Tamandua tetradactyla: one gene and its partner. The protein of the gene in region 2 binds, or shares a complex with, the protein of the main gene of each other region. Links are inferred from orthologs where the notes say so. Each region holds a gene or a part of one and is shown on either strand. Other genes may lie near its edges.

Evidence for each region. Proteins that work in one complex are often made in the same cells at the same time.
Region 1: the proteins of AURKA (region 2) and TACC3 are in contact, whole or in part, in a crystal structure (PDB 5ODT), measured with the Homo sapiens proteins. The link is inferred for Tamandua tetradactyla from reciprocal best matches to the Homo sapiens genes AURKA and TACC3. Residues at the interface, in NP_001310232.1 of Homo sapiens: Leu130, Phe133, Glu134, Ile135, Gly136, Arg137, Tyr148, Leu149, Ala150, Arg151, Ile158, Val163, Arg205, Tyr207; in NP_001428248.1 of Homo sapiens: Glu523, Ser524, Phe525, Arg526, Pro528, Val531, Leu532, Gly533.

What each region holds. Positions count from the first base shown.
Region 1 is NC_135345.1:1,405,199-1,412,166, reverse strand, and holds the start of TACC3 (transforming acidic coiled-coil-containing protein 3), read right to left. Parts: upstream 3,073-6,968; 5' UTR 2,912-3,072; intron 927-2,911; 5' UTR 926-926; coding exon 764-925; intron 641-763; coding exon 498-640; intron 1-497. Other genes in the region: TMEM129 (E3 ubiquitin-protein ligase TM129), read left to right, coding at 3,641-3,845, 6,361-6,835. UniProt on the Homo sapiens protein: Plays a role in the microtubule-dependent coupling of the nucleus and the centrosome. Involved in the processes that regulate centrosome-mediated interkinetic nuclear migration (INM) of neural progenitors.
Region 2 is NC_135327.1:28,991,311-28,999,321, reverse strand, and holds the start of AURKA (aurora kinase A), read right to left. Parts: upstream 3,103-8,011; 5' UTR 3,012-3,102; coding exon 2,915-3,011; intron 2,909-2,914; exon of another isoform or gene 2,797-2,908; intron 1-2,796. Other genes in the region: CSTF1 (cleavage stimulation factor subunit 1), read left to right, coding at 5,838-6,006. UniProt on the Homo sapiens protein: Mitotic serine/threonine kinase that contributes to the regulation of cell cycle progression.

The sequences.
Region 1 (6,968 bases), on a different chromosome or scaffold from region 2:
CTTCACTTCATGGTCAGCCACCAGGCAGTGGCCACTGCTAAGCCTAAGAACGTGACCCCGGGCCGGGCTACAAAGAAGCTTCCTCTGATTAAAATAAACTCAACCCCTCAGGACTCAACTCCAACCCCTAGCTCACTCTTACTTCGCCCAACAGATCATATAAAGCACAGCCCCGCCCCTTTTAAGAATAATGTCTCAGTGTAGACCATGCAAGAATTGAGTCACAAGCAGAGACAGGAGATGAGGAGAAACACAGCTTCCCTGGGGAGAGGCTCAGGACTGCGTAAGGAGTTGGAGAAATGAGAGCAGAGGCCCAGCACCTGGCAAAGACACATCGCAGGAGGAAAGAATGGAATCTGAACTCAATCCAAACACCTGACCGTTAACTTTCCCACAAGTAGAGGGCTTCGGAAGCCCCATACCCGGGCACCGTATAAACACCTGCAAAGGCCCGTCGATGGTGTTAGAGCCACAGCACACAACAGGCCAACACTTACTCATCTCTTTGTGTCCAGTCACGGTGAGAGTTTGCCAATCCAACAGTCTCGTCCAGAGTAAAAGGAGCTTCTAGTTTACTGGTCATACTAGGACTTAAAATCCTGTGTGTCTGTGGATCCCGCAGAGGCGTTTGAAAAGTTACCTACAGGGGAGCGAGAAGGAACACATGCCTGTTAAATGATTCTCGGCCATCAGCAGGACTCGGTGGTAGCAGCATGCCAGCCTGGGGGCACAGGCCACACTCCGTGGGGATGGACTGACTTGCCTTCATAGCTCTGGCTATGCTCTTGGGTGGCACATTTTCTTTCTGTGACAGACGAAGGACAGACGACTTTCCGGTTAGTTCCGGGGGTGAAAAGAGGAAGTCACAAATTTCGGTGGCTTTGTCACAAGTGACGTTTTCATCATTTAAGATCTGCAGACTCATTCTGGAAAAGCAGACCACGCCTCTGTCAGCACGGGGGCAACAAGACTGGTGCAGCACATCCAGACAGGGGTGTGATACAGGTTGTCCCCTTTCTGGGCCAGGCGTGGCTGCCTGCCCAACCCAGCCTCCCACAGCATGTCCTTGGTGAGCTGGGCAGGAGCGCTGGAGGGTCCCCGTCTGGTCTCAGGAGGCCTTGACTCCCACGAGACCGAGAGCCCAGAGGGCCTTCAACCGGAGAGAAGAGGAAGACTGAGCTTGTGGAATCACCTGTGATCCTGGGCTGTTTTGTTAGGTAATAAGTTAGAAGACCAAGTACTGGCCTGGGAGAATATTCACAGCTGAGGCTGCCTTAGTCTCCCCAGAGCCTGACTCAGGTGGTCAAGAAACAGGGTGCAGCCTAGGCTGTGTGGGGTGTGGGGGTTTTGTGTCTCAGCTTAGGGGACAGAGCCCAGGTGTCAAGTCAGCAGAGAAGAGAAATGCTGAACAGTGAGCCATAGTTCGTGCTCCCCTGCCCCTGGCTGGAAAGGGGGGAGGGCAGGCGAGGGTCAGCAGAGGGGCCTGAAGCCCAGGAGGCTGTCCAGAAGGATCTGGTAAATTGCTAAGGAGCCTTGCTAAGGGGCCTCAAGTCAGGTTCAGCAAGTTCCACAATGGGCCTTTGCTGCTCCCAGGCCCTGAGGGCGTTCCTAAGGTAGGTGTTGCTAGAGTTGAGTGTGGTGGTGGAGAAGAGTGGAACCAGAGAAAGGTCCGATGAGGCAGCCACCAGTCCAGAATGCAGGATGGGCTGCATTCTGAAGAACAAGAAGGCCAGGGTGGCTGAGCAGAGGGGCAAGGAGTAGCCTGGAAGCGTGGTTGGAGGAGAGTGGGGTCCACCACGTGGGACATGAGGGGGCATGGGGTCGGGCAATATCACTGCTGGGCTTCAGAAGACCCTTCTGTTACATAGCAGAGGGGCTGTGAGGGGGAAGAGGGAACACAGGCAACCAGAAGCAGTCAAGGTGTCCAGGAGACAAGGCTGGGCCTGGGCTTGGTCAGTGGGTCTACGTGGACACATGAGGGCAGGGAAAAGTCACAGATGATTCTCCGAGTCTAGCCTGGGTTAATGGGTGCGGGGGAGCTGAACTGTGGGGGTGTAGGGAGGGTGTCTGGGGAGCCACAGGGGCATCTGGAACCTGCAGTTAGAAGCTGTGCTAGTCCAGAGAAGTAGTTACTGCGGGGTCCTGTGCCAGCCAGGGACTGGGTCCGGGTGGTGGCCACCACTGGGGATAAAGCTGGAGCGAGGCGAGGCCTGTGGCTGCACCCGGGGGCCGACTGCGTGGAGGTGGGGAAGGGAGAGGTGCAAAGGAGACCCAGAGGAGCGGGGCACCGGTGAAAAGAGCGTTCCGGAGAGGAACAAGCCGGTGGGCTTGGCAGGACAAGGACCGAGACCCGGGTGGGATGCGCCAGCACGCGGTCCGCTGGAGACAAGGTGAGGAAGTGTCTCTGAGACGCGGTGGCAAAAGCCTGATTGGAGCGGGCCAGAGAGCGAGCAGGAGCTGGAGAGGCAGTGCTGGCAGCAGCGACTGGGGAAGCGCTGCCGCAGAGGGGGCCAGAGAAGCGGGCAGGAGCTGGAGGGACGAAGGCTGCTCGCGGGTGGCCGCGCGGGGCCCGCCGCGGGCGGAGAGCAGGTGGGGTCCTCGAGGGAGCAGCGGGGGACGCTCCCCAGCCCCGGCAGGTCCCTCCCACCCCTGCTTCCGCCAGCCGAGTGCGGCCGCGGGCCGGGGGGGGGCGGGTGGGGACCGGAGGGGAGGGTCCAGGTGCCGGGGGGGCCGCGCCTGGGGAGGGGCAGGGCTGTGGGAGCCGCCGCTGCCCAGTCCGCGCTCGCCCACCCCCAGGTCGCCTCAGCCAGCCTGACTCCCCCGAGGTCGCAGGCGGCGGGGCCGACCCGGCAGAGGCCCGGGGCCTGGGAGGGCGTAGACTGGGTCGAGCCGAGGGGCGGCGGCCGCCTACCTGTCCGCCGAGCTCCGGACCCGCCCCGTCGCGGCCGGGAGAAGAGAGGGGAGTACAGGGAGGAGCCGCGCCGCCGCCGGAAACCCACTCAGGCCGCTAAGTCCGCCGCGCCCGCCGATTCAAATACCGACGGTTGACTCCGCGCAGCCAGTCAGAGCGCGCCGGGGGCAGTCAGTAGCCAATGGAAGGCCGCGCCGCGCCGGCCCCGCCCCTCGCGCACGCGTTCCACTTCCGGGCGAGGGGGCGCTTCGATCCTGGGCCGGATGGGGCGGAGACTCGCATGCGCAGCGGACGGGGGCGATCTGGGAGCCGTTTGCTCGGTCTTCAGTTTTCTCAGCTGTGAAATGGGGCCAGTTGTAGCGCCTCTTCCACGGCAGGTCGCGGGGAGGGGCTGCATCCTCGCGGAGAACGTGCGGGCGGCCTGCGCCTTTGGGCCGGGCTCGGGGACTCCGCTTCCCAGAGCGCCCCGCGGCCGGGACTCGGCCTCCCAGAGCGCCCCGCGGCCGGGACTCCGCCTCCCAGAGCGCCCCGCGGCCGGGACTCCGCCTCCCAGAGTGCCCCGCGGCCGGCGGGATCGGAACTCCATTTCCCAGAGCGCCCCGCGACCGGCCAGCGGCGGCCTCGTCCAGCGCTCCGGGCCGGGGCCGGGACGCTCGCGCCTCTTCCCCGCGCCGGGGCCGGAGGTGGGACCGGCGAGCCTCTCTCGAGCGGCTTCCCGGCGGCGGCACGATGGACAGCCCCGAGGTCACCTTCACCCTGGCCTACCTGGTCTTCGCCGTGTGCTTCGTGTTCACGCCCAACGAGTTCCACTCGGCCGGGCTCACCGTGCAGAACCTGCTGTCGGGCTGGCTGGGCAGCGAGGACGCCGCCTTCGTGTCCTACCACCTGCGCCGCACGGCCGCCACGCTGCTGTGCCACTCACTGCTGCCGCTCGGTGAGGCGGGCCGGGGGCCCACGCAGACCCGGGACCCCCCGAGAGCATCCCCACCCGAGAGACACCCCCTCCATCCCCGCCCCACACAGGTCCCTGCTTGAGGTCCCCGCTTGAGGTCCCTATCTGTCTCCACCTAGAACCGCTTCCCCACCCAGATCCCTCTCCCCAGTGAGATCCTCTCAGAGACACCCAGTCCTCGCTGAAGACCCTGTTTCTATCTGATACACCCCATCTCTGCCTGAGACCCATCCTATTGAGGTTCCTGTTTCTGCCCCAGACCGCATCCCACCCCTCCAGACCCCATTCCCGTGGAGACCCCCTTTACGGCCAAGACACTTTGTGCCTACCGAAGCCCCCAGATCCCAACCCCACCGACTCCCGGGCCTGCCTGGCTGCTGTGCCACCAGTCGCTGGGAATGCCCTGAGATGGAGAGTCACTAGCAGGCTCTAGTCCCGGCCATGGTCCAACAGGCACCTCGGGCCACTACGGCCCTTCCAAGTTGAGGTGCTGCTCACCAGTGGGCCCTCTTGGTGGCAGGGTGCTTGGCCTGGGTTGGGGCTGTAACCGCACAACCCCCCAGGGTTCCAGGCACACTGCCCTGGACTGGCTGAGCAGTGTTTGGCCAATTCTGTCGATAGGCTCTGAGTCTTGGGGTCAGCCCTACTCTCCCTGCACAGGTCCTTGGTGTCCTGCTTAGGGTCAGGTCAGCCTGGCCGGTGTGGGGAGGGCGCAGGTTGGGGGCTCAGCCTGCCTGTACCAGTCCTGGGCTGTAGACCTGTACGTTGAGCACATCCTGGGGACACGTTGGGGGGCGGGTACCCAAGGCCCTAACGTGGCTTCACCAGGGTGGCTGTCTCCCTCTTGGGCGTTGGAGTTGGGAGGGCAGCGTGGGGCGGGTGCAGAGGAAGGCGTGAGGCCTGGGGACTCGGAGCCTCGGGTCCTGCGGCTCTCCTGGCTGCCGGTGAAGGCTTGCACGCATAGGGTGGGGGAGGAAGGCCTCAAGTCGTGTCGCTGCGTCCGCTCGTCTTCTTGGCCAGGGCTTGGTCCTCACTGAGGAGGAGTTGGTTGTGCGGCAATCCCGGACAGGACAGCGTTGTGCTGGGTGGAGTGCCCCAGGTCATCCCCCCACGGTGGACCCTGTGCTGGGAGAGGTGGCCGTGCCCCCTAAGAAGCCAGACTCACTGGCCTCAGTCCTTGCGGCAGGGGGAGCAAGTGGGGTCTGCCCTGCAGGGCCCTGCTCCGAGGGCCGGAGAAAGGCATCTGTCTGGCCGGGAGCAGCTGAAGAGCTGCACAGCTTGCAAGTGGCAGAAGCCCCAGCATTGCTGTGGGGAGAGGGTGCTTTGGCCCTGCCTGGGACAGACCGTGAACTGCCGCTGCTGCTGGGGGTCCCATGTGGCCGTGGGCATCTGCTGTTTGTATGTGGGGGCAGTTCCAGGTGAAGGGCTTCTGGGAACCCATAGTACTAGCTGAGTCCATCGGAAGAGTTGGGTTGGAGGGTTCCCTCGAGAAGGTGGAGTTGTTCTTGGCCTTGGAAGATGGGTACAGGGAGAGCAGGCAGAGATGGGGGTTGAGAGATTCCTGGTCCCAGACCGGAAACGCCAGCGTTGTCAGCTGAGGGGACGGGTGGTGCTTGGCAGGGACCCAAGGCAGCCTGGGCCTCCACAAGGCTGCTGCACCAGCCGGGGAAAGGATGGGCCAGAGGGCCAGGGGACTGTGCTGGGGTGCCAGGCAGGGGGCCTCCCGAGACGTGCAGGGTCCAAGGACATGAGCAGAACCAGGTCTGGTGGGAGGTCGAGGCAGGAGTGGGGGACTTGGGAGAACGAGGCTGGGCCGAGAGGGCTCCTGGGTCTGGAGGCAGCAGCAGGGGTGTGTGGGTGCCTGGTAGAAAGGAAGCCCCAGGCTTGCTGCCTCCCACCCCTTTCTGCCCCTGAGTCCCTGTGGGGTGTGTGACCTCCCCCATCCTCAGCCAGACCAGGAGAGAGACACAAAGCAGGAGGCAGCTGGGAGACCGTGCAAACTGGAGCTACACTCCCTCGGCCTGAGCCCCACCTGCCAGATCCTGGGGAGCTCACAGTGCCTGGGCCCTCAGCCTGCTTCTTTGGGGCTCAGGGGTGTGGTCCCCAGAGAGCTCTTTCCCTGGGGAGAGTCGCTGAGGCTCCCAGCAGTTTTCTGGAGCTCATCCTAGCTGGGCCCATGCCAGCCATCGTATTTGGGTGGAAGACGAAGCCAGGCCATCACATTTGTTTTTGCTTTTCTGGATTTCTCTTTTTTCTCTTGTGCTTGGATATTGTTTATGTAAAACTGAAGTAAATTAAAAGCATTTTTTTCTAACTTATCGTGCCGCTGCTGTGAGCAAAGGCTGAGCTAGGCCTGGCCACAGAGGTGAGAGGCAGAGAGGCCCACTGCCCTCAGCCTTGCCCTGGGAGCTGACCAGGGCTGGGCACAGGGACCCCGTAGGAAGGTGGGCATGGCCTGGCCAGCCCTGTACCCGCTGATGCCCGCCTCGTCCTTTAGGCTACTATGTGGGCATGTGCTTTGCTGCTTCAGAGGAGTGGCTGTACGCCCCTGGCCGGGCCCCAGAGGCCTGGAGACTCTTCCTCCTGCTGGCGCTGACCTTGCCTGCTGCGGCCTGCGCTGTGATCTGCCACTGGGCCCGCAACCGCTGGGCCCGGCACCCGCTGGCCTGCACCCTGGCGCTGTACGCTCTCCCGCACTCGGGCTGGCGGGATGTCGCTGCCTCCGTCAACACCGAATTCCGGCGCATCGACAAGTTTGCCACTGGGGCCCCGGGCGCCCGGGTTGTCGTGACGGACACCTGGGTGATGAAGGTGACTACCTACCGGGTCCATGTGGCCCAGCAGCAGGACGTGCACCTGACCGTGACCGGGTCGCGGCAGCATGAGCTCTCACCAGACTCCAACCTGCCCGTGCAGTTCCTCACAATCCGCGTGGCCAGCGCCCACCCCCACGTGAGGGCCTTCGACATCCGGTAAAGCCGCAGGGGTGGGGGCCGGGCAGGGGGATGGGGGTGGGTACGGGGCTCTGGGGCACAGGGGGCCAGGCTGGGGGTGTGTGGGGGAGGCACAGAGTCCTGGGGGCTGGGCAGGAGGGATGTGGGGGAG
Region 2 (8,011 bases):
CACCCTCCCTTGTGCCCACTCCCACCTGGCTTTATCCCCACCAAGTCGCTGAGTTCATGACTGACCCCTATTGTTACCAAGCCAAACAGTCAATTCTCCACCCTCATTTTATGTTGCGTTCTAGGCAGCATTTGATAAGGTTGATCATTTCTTCCTGAACATCTTTCTTCACTTACCTTCCAGATTTGTCTCCTACCTCACTAGCTGTCCACTCTCACCCTCTTTTCCACTCTGAAAATGCCTGAGATAATATAGGAATGAGTCTTTGGATCCCCACCCCCACTTCTCCATCTACAACCATTTCCTAGGGACCCTCACCCAATGCCATTGCTCTGAACATCTTTATCAGGATACCTCGAATTAACCTCTTCTGGCCTAATCTCTCCTCTGACCACCAGACTCAAAAGATCCAACCACCTGCTCTGGACCCCACAGAAAGGTATGAAAGGCATCAAAATCTTAATACATCAAAAATGGAACCTCTTCTCTCCTCCAAACTTCTTTATCCACTCTCTACTCATGGGAGTGTGCTGGTCTCTTTCCCAAACCATTTCTCTTTTCCTATACTCACTCTCCAGGAGAGCTCATCTGGTCTATTGGCTGTGCATAATATCCATAGGTGGAAAATTCCCAAATTTCCATCTCCAGTCCAGATATAAATATCCTACCACTTTCGCATCTCCATCTGATTATCTAAGGGGTCGATGTTAACATGTCCCAAGGTGAACTCACGATCCTTCCCATCTCCACCTCCCCATTCTTGTTCTCAGATATCCCCTCAGAATATGACCTCTACCACCACCACCTGGTAAGACCACAGTCCTCCCTCCCTGGACTATTTGCAACTGGCTCCCAATGATTTTCCTCCTCTCATTCTGCCCCACTATTACCCATTCTCAACACTGCAGCCAGTGATCCTGTTAAGTCAGATGTCAATCCTTCATTCACAAAACTTTCATGGCTTCCCAACTCAATGAAATACAGGTTCCAACTGGTAAGGACAGACCAATGAAGTCCCACAAAATGTGAACCTTGACCATCTCTCTGACCTAGTCTCACACTCCTCCTTCCTGTCCACTGCACACCAGACACACAGTATATCTTTTCTCAAAAAGGTCCCCTGCCACAGGGCCTTTGTACTTGCTCTTTCCTCCATCAGGATCTTACCCCAAATGCATCACTTGCGCCTTCATTTCATGCTATTCTCTGTTCAAATGTCCCCTTCCAGAACCATCTCTATCTTATTTTTCTTCATAGCCCTTAGCATCATACACAAAGTATATGCATATTTATATACTGTCTGTGTCCCTCACTAGAAAGTAAATTCCACAAGAGCGAGGGCTTGCTTAGTCACATTTTACTCACCACTGTGCCCAAGAAACCTAGAACAGCACATAGTGTAGGCAATGAATGTTCTGGGAATAAATTAAAGCAAATCAATAATAAAAATAGTTTATTAAAACACTTTGTAAGCCCATACTATGAGTCAGGCACCACACTATCAAGTAGGTAAAACAAACACCAAGACAGCAGAAATCTACCAGTATTCTTCTTACCCAGGTGCTCTGTGACTACTAAAATCTAATCAGAAAGGATTTCCCCACCCTCAATGCTTCTACATCCATTTCAAAAATAAGCAAATAACTCCATAAGACAGAGCCAGGACTAAAGAACCTAGAGTCCTTAGTTGGTTGATAAAAATAAACTAAAAACAGAAGAGGAAATACATGCCTACTTTATGCACCATTATTTTCTAAACTTGCTCTATTACTTTCACTTTCCCAACAATTCCTAGTAGCAGAATACTGTGAGAGCACATAAGCCTCATAATATTTATTCAACAGTCTTCTGACCAAAGCTATCAATGTTTATCCCAATTTTTTCTTTTCATATTGAATTTATTTATAGTTTCTGTCTCAGGAAGATGAACAATAAACAGAATGGAATAAGATTTTGATTCGGAAAATCCAGGGAGGGTCCCCAGGAAAAAGCCCCTGAGGCGATTCTGATCTACAGCGATTTGGAAACTGCATAACTAAATGGCCTTTTCAAAATCCATTAAACAGAGATCCTGCAATTCTAAACAGAAAAACTGTTAGATTTAATAGCCCTGTGAGTTTAGGATAAAAAAGTTGTCCCTCCTCCCCCCACCACAGGAAACCTGCAAATATCTGCCAAGAGGCTGAGTGGAGAGGAACTGAGTGTCTTCTGAAAACATTTAGTTCAAGGAACAAGGAACCCTGAGGAGGAGACATGATTAAAAGTCAAGACTGAACGTTTGTTAGAAATTGAGGATCTCAGGTTCAACGCAGACCTAACAAACTCTGCATTTAGCAACATCCCCAGATGGCTGGTAGGTGTTGGAAGTAAATATCAGAACCACTTGGAGACCTTGTTAAACGTAGACACCTGGGTTTTATCGCCAAAATAGTCTGATTCATTCCACCTGCCGTGGGTCTGTGTTTTTAACAAGGACCCCCAAGTAATCCTGATATGGGTGAGTCCAAGGGCCAGGATTTGATAAGCACGGGCTCCGGAAGGCCTCTGCGTAGAGGTTATCATTCATTCATCCATTCATTCATTCATTCATTCATTCATCCATCCATTCATTTATCCAGCCAGGAAAGCGCCTTCCCGGACTATTCTATCTAACGTAGCCCCCTTTAAACCATACTACTGTTTTACATCCTGCATAATACTCGTCACAATTGGAAATCATGTTTAGTTTGCTGTCTCTCTCCCCGTTCCTCCAAAGTAAACTCCTAGACAGCGGAAGTTTCTCTGAGGTTTCCTTACCTAGGTGCCCACTGAATATGAGAATCCATGCAGAAAGCCTTCCCCAATGCCACCCAACAACCCCATCTGCCTCTAGCGTTAACCATAAGCAACCTTCACAGAGCCCCTCGGAACCCACGAGTAGATGGAGCACAGATGAGGCCGCAGAGGCACGTAGTCGGCAGGGAGGGAGGACCTCTCGCGCTGATTCTTTCTCTCCCGCCCCGCAGCCCCATCGCCCGCTCGGCTCTGCTCCAGCCAGATCCCACTACCCGCTCGTAGGCCGCCCGGATCAGCCGCCCCTCACCCAGGCCTCACACCCGCCACATAAACCTGACCCCACTGGTCCACGCACACGTCGGACACCGTCTCGAACCCACGGAGCCGAGTCCTACAGAGAGCTCAGCCGTTAAGAGTCAAAGGTTCTTCTTTTTAAATGCAAGTTAAACCCTCTACTCCGGACGCTGATTGGCCTAGGCTAGAAGGAAGGCTGCCTTTTGATTGGTCAACAACGAACTCGCTGTCTTGAGTCATAGGAGAAGGTAGAGACGAAGCGCAGGCGCACTTGCCTCGAAGGGCCCCGGAAGAGGGGGCCCCAACGACCCACCAAACCCGTGAACGTTCTATCGCCAGTGGTGCTCTCCGGATCGGAAATTTGCCCGTAAGAGAGCAGCCTCTAGCATCGGGGCTGTCGTACAGGAGATAAAGTCGGAGCAGGTAACCGAACCTCTTGAACGTGCCAGTAAGTCAGATGGCGAGGAGGGCCGGAGAGGGGGTGGGAGCGATGGATAGCGCGGTACTCGGCTTTATGCCCTTTGCGCGTGCGCAGTGAACTTGCGCTTCGAGCGATCGATCGGGCAAGATTCGCGCCTCCATTTTTCTGGGAGAGAGCGGGAGACCGCGAGAGCCGGATCAGCGGGTAAGGGAGCCCGGGATGCGCCGGCAGGAGCGGGTTCTGTCCGCTGGGGTCTGCAGAGGCCCACGGGAAGGACTGGGTCGAGGTGGGAATGGTCGAGAGTGAGCGGGGAGGCGTGCGCCCTGAGTCAGTGCTCCTGGGCTGCCGGGCTGGGCCTGCGCACCCCTTTGGAGGGCCTACCTCCCAGCCCCACGCCACCCCATCCTTATAAACTTCTGCGTTGGGATGGTTGCGCCGTGTGCAGAAGGGGCGTCCTGATCTCCCTTTCCTGTGTAACCGGTCCTGAGTAGGGTTATTCCTGTCCTCGGGCCTCAGTGTTCTCCCCTGCAAATTAGGGGTGGTGATTAAGAGGCTCCTACAGCCTGGCGAGTGAACATTCTAAAGGAGTTGAGAAGCGGAGTCTCGCCCTCTCTTTTACTTTCTCATTGTCCCTGTACATCTCACGATGCCCCAGACAGAAGTGAAGAGACAGGTTGGAGTGGTGGTTAAGTTCTGGACTTTGGAGTGGACCGTCCTGACGACCACGTAACCTCAGATGAGTTACCCAGGCACACTTTACCTTGAGTAGGTTTCCTAATTTCTCTGAGCCCGTTTCATCATCTCTATTGTGTCCCACTGTTCTCGGCAGATAGACTTAAGAGCATTTGCTCCTACATGCGTAGATTTGCATGCATTTATTGATTCCGTCCAATGAGCTTCACTGTAAAGTGCTTAGCACAGTGTCTGGCACGTAGGAAGTGCTCCATAAATGTTACATAAACACTCGTCAGTGTAATATGGTGCGTAAGAACTCAGGCTCAGGGACCACATTGCCTGGGTTGGAATCTAGTCTCTGACATTCACAGCTATTTAATCCTGAGTGAATTAATTAACCACTCTGGGCCTCAGTTTGCTTATTTCTAAAATAATACTGGATGAGGTGTGAATGAGTTAATGCACATAAGTTGCTTCCACAGTGTGTTTTATATACTGTGTTAAATGTCTAGTGACTATTAGCCTTTATTATTAAGTTTTTAGGGCACACTACAACCTAGTAGTTAGAAGCAACACAGACTCTAGAGTCAAACCACCTACATCCTAGTCCTGGTTCCTCCAGACACTATTAGTGAGATCTTTGGCAAAATTATATTCCCCCTTCATCTGTAAACAAGATTACAGGACCTCCATTATAGGATGGTTTGAGGATTAAATAAAGTAAAACTTGAAAAACATGGTAAAGATGTTGTAAATGCTGGCTGTTACTAGGATCAGTAATTTCAGTGGTTCTCCAGAGGGGACTATGTAGTTAGAAAACGTGCTTGATACCCCTACCTTCTCCCTTCTCCCCAGTCACTCCTGTTAATGTACAGGAATACCAGTAGGTACCACTGTTAACTCTATTGTTTGTTTTTCTTTTTAGCTTGAAGGAGAACTTAGACACTTGTGAATCAATCAGGGTGTGCAGTCCTTCCAGATTTTTACAATTTTTCCATTTTTTAGTTGTTTTGTCTGTATCTTATATGCCAATAGTATATTAAGCAGTTCACTTGAGTCATTTCAAAGCATTCAGTTTGCTTTCATTTTCATGGAAATAATAGCTTTTTGCCCTGATACTCTGGTTTAAATTATATAATTGCAATAAGCCCAGTTGTCATGAAACAGATTTTAGGAATGAATTTAAGCATGTGGCTAAGCTGGTAGAAATAGTAGTTCCTAGATATTTCAAGGGAATAGCAGCTGTCTTACCTGTTGACAACAACAGTCAGTGTTTTTATTAACAGAAGAAATAAAAGATTCTGGGATAGCCATAAAGAATAAATTTTTAGGTGGGTAACTTTGGCCGAAAAGAAAAGGGGAAGAATAAGTTGATGAAGAGAGAGTCTGCTGTAAATTTCAGCTAACATGACTTGAATACCTTCTGTGTACCAGGTACTGTGTGCAATGTTCTCTGTGTACCTTCTCGTTTAACCTTCAGTAACTTATTTAATAGCTGAAGTTTGGAGAAATGAGGACACTAACCAAAGGTAATGCAGATAGTAGAGCTAGGATTTTAGCTCCACAAGTCTGATTTACTGTGTCTGTGATTTACTAGTGCCTCTCCCCTTCACCATCTACCTCTTATCTCTTCTTGCAGCTGACAGGAAGAATTATCTTCCTCTTCTCCAAGATGTATAGAACCAAGGTGGGCCTGAAGGACCGCCAGCAACTCTACAAGCTGATCATTAGCCAGCTGCTCTATGACGGCTACATCAGCATTGCTAATGGCCTCATCAATGAAATCAAGCCTCAGTCTGTGTGCGCGCCCTCCGAGCAACTCCTGCATCTCATCAAACTAGGTACCATGTGAATATAAATGTATAGCTCTGGTGGTACAGATTTAAACTTTTCCAAGCATCACAGTTTTTCAGAATTAGTTTAGTTTAGTGCCAAGTACAATGCTGGATACTAAAGTTGGAAACAAAGTGCACATTATGAGCACTTGAAGCTGGTTCCAGCCTCAGCTTATACACATTGTCATTATCTGGAGCACTTTGTCTTTTATTATTGACTTCTTTCAAGTCTCAACTCATATGTCATCTCTGAGTACCCAACACTCCTAAAGTAATCTCTTTCTCTTCCCCATACCTCCCCAGTTTCTCTACCATAAACATCACGTCTATTTTCTTCAAAACAGAATTTTTGTTTGTTTGTTTGTTTGCATTGTTTTCCATGCAATCCCTGTTCCTCCCTGCTAGCTTACCCCATTCCCCACAGGTGAGCAGCAGTCCCTTCTTGAAGGGAAATAAGGATGGCATGTCTCCATGTTTACCAACCTTGGGACATGTAAGTCCAGGAGTGATATATTTGCAGTCACTGTGCAGAACTGTGGATAACTGCAGAGGAGTATCCATGGTATGAACTATCAGTGTTTTAAACCCTACAGAACTATGTCTTTGTATGAGAATATGATTATGACAAAAAGGAGCTTTTATTTTTTGAGGATATTTTCGGTTTATATTAAAAAGTATTTGGGGTCTGATTTGGAGGATGAGCTGTGAACGTCTGAACATGGAGGTTGGGAGATCAGTTAGATTTATGCTATAGCATTGTCAAGAAATTAAGAAATTGTGTTGTTGTTGGGTTTTTTTGTTTTGCTTTTTTGCTTTTAAAAAAGGAAACTTAATAAGTTGGTAGTTTACAGTTCTAAGACCAAGGAAATGTCCCAATTAAAGCAAGTCTATAAAAATGTCCAAACTAAGGCACCAATAAGAGGTTACCTTCACTCAAGAAAGACCAATGAAGTTCAGGGTTTCTCTCTTAGCAGAAAGGTGAAGTCTCTCAGCTTTCTCTCCTGGTTTGTTTCATGGAGCTCCCCCTGGGCATTTTCCTTCTTCATCTCCAAATGTCTCTTGCAGCATGGACTCTCAGCCTCGTGGCTCTGCTTGGCTCTGCTGTACCTTTCTGTGGTTCTCTCCTCATTCTCAAAAGGGACTCTCTCTACAAAATGTTTCCTCTTTTAAAGGATTTCAGCAAACTAATCAAGACCCTCATAGAATGGGTGGGGATACATCTCCATCTAATCATGCTTTAAAACCCACAATTGATTGAGTCACGTCTCCGTGGAGATAATCTAATCAGGTTTCCGATCTGTAGTGCTGAATATGGATTAGAAGAAACAGTTGCCTCCCACAAGATTGATTAGAATTAAAACATGGCTTTTCTAGGGTACATAAATCTTTTCAAACCAGCGCATTCTACCCTCTGAATGCTAAAAAAGACATGTTTTCCCCATATATAAAATAGATTCATTCCATAACAATATCAGAGAACCTTAAACCATTTCAGTAACATTACACATACAGTACAAGGTTAAAACCAGTACAAAGTCTCATCAAAATCAGCTACAGACATGAACAGTCTTAAGGCAAAATTTTCTCTGCTGGCTGTGGACCTATAAAACTCAGAACAAGTTATTTGCTGTCAATTTACAAAAGAGGGACAGTCATAGGATACATAAGCCCATTTCCATAGGGAGGAATTGGAAGGAACATAGGGGTCGCTGGACCCAAGCAGTTTTTAAAACCTGCATGGCAAACGCTATTAGATTTTCAAAGTCTGAGAGTATATTTATGTTCGGGGCTTTAGAAAGTGTCGGTCCACCCTCTCCAAAGACCTTCACAGTGGCCCACCTCTCTCCACTGGGGATATCACCTTTTTCTCGGCTCCACCCTCTCCATGCGTTGGGGCTGCACCTAGGCTCTCTGCCATCTCTGGGGCACACACTCAACCCCTCCATATGATGGCACCCTGGCTGTCCCAAATCTCCAGGAGATGTACTACACCCTCTCTAAGACCTGACGT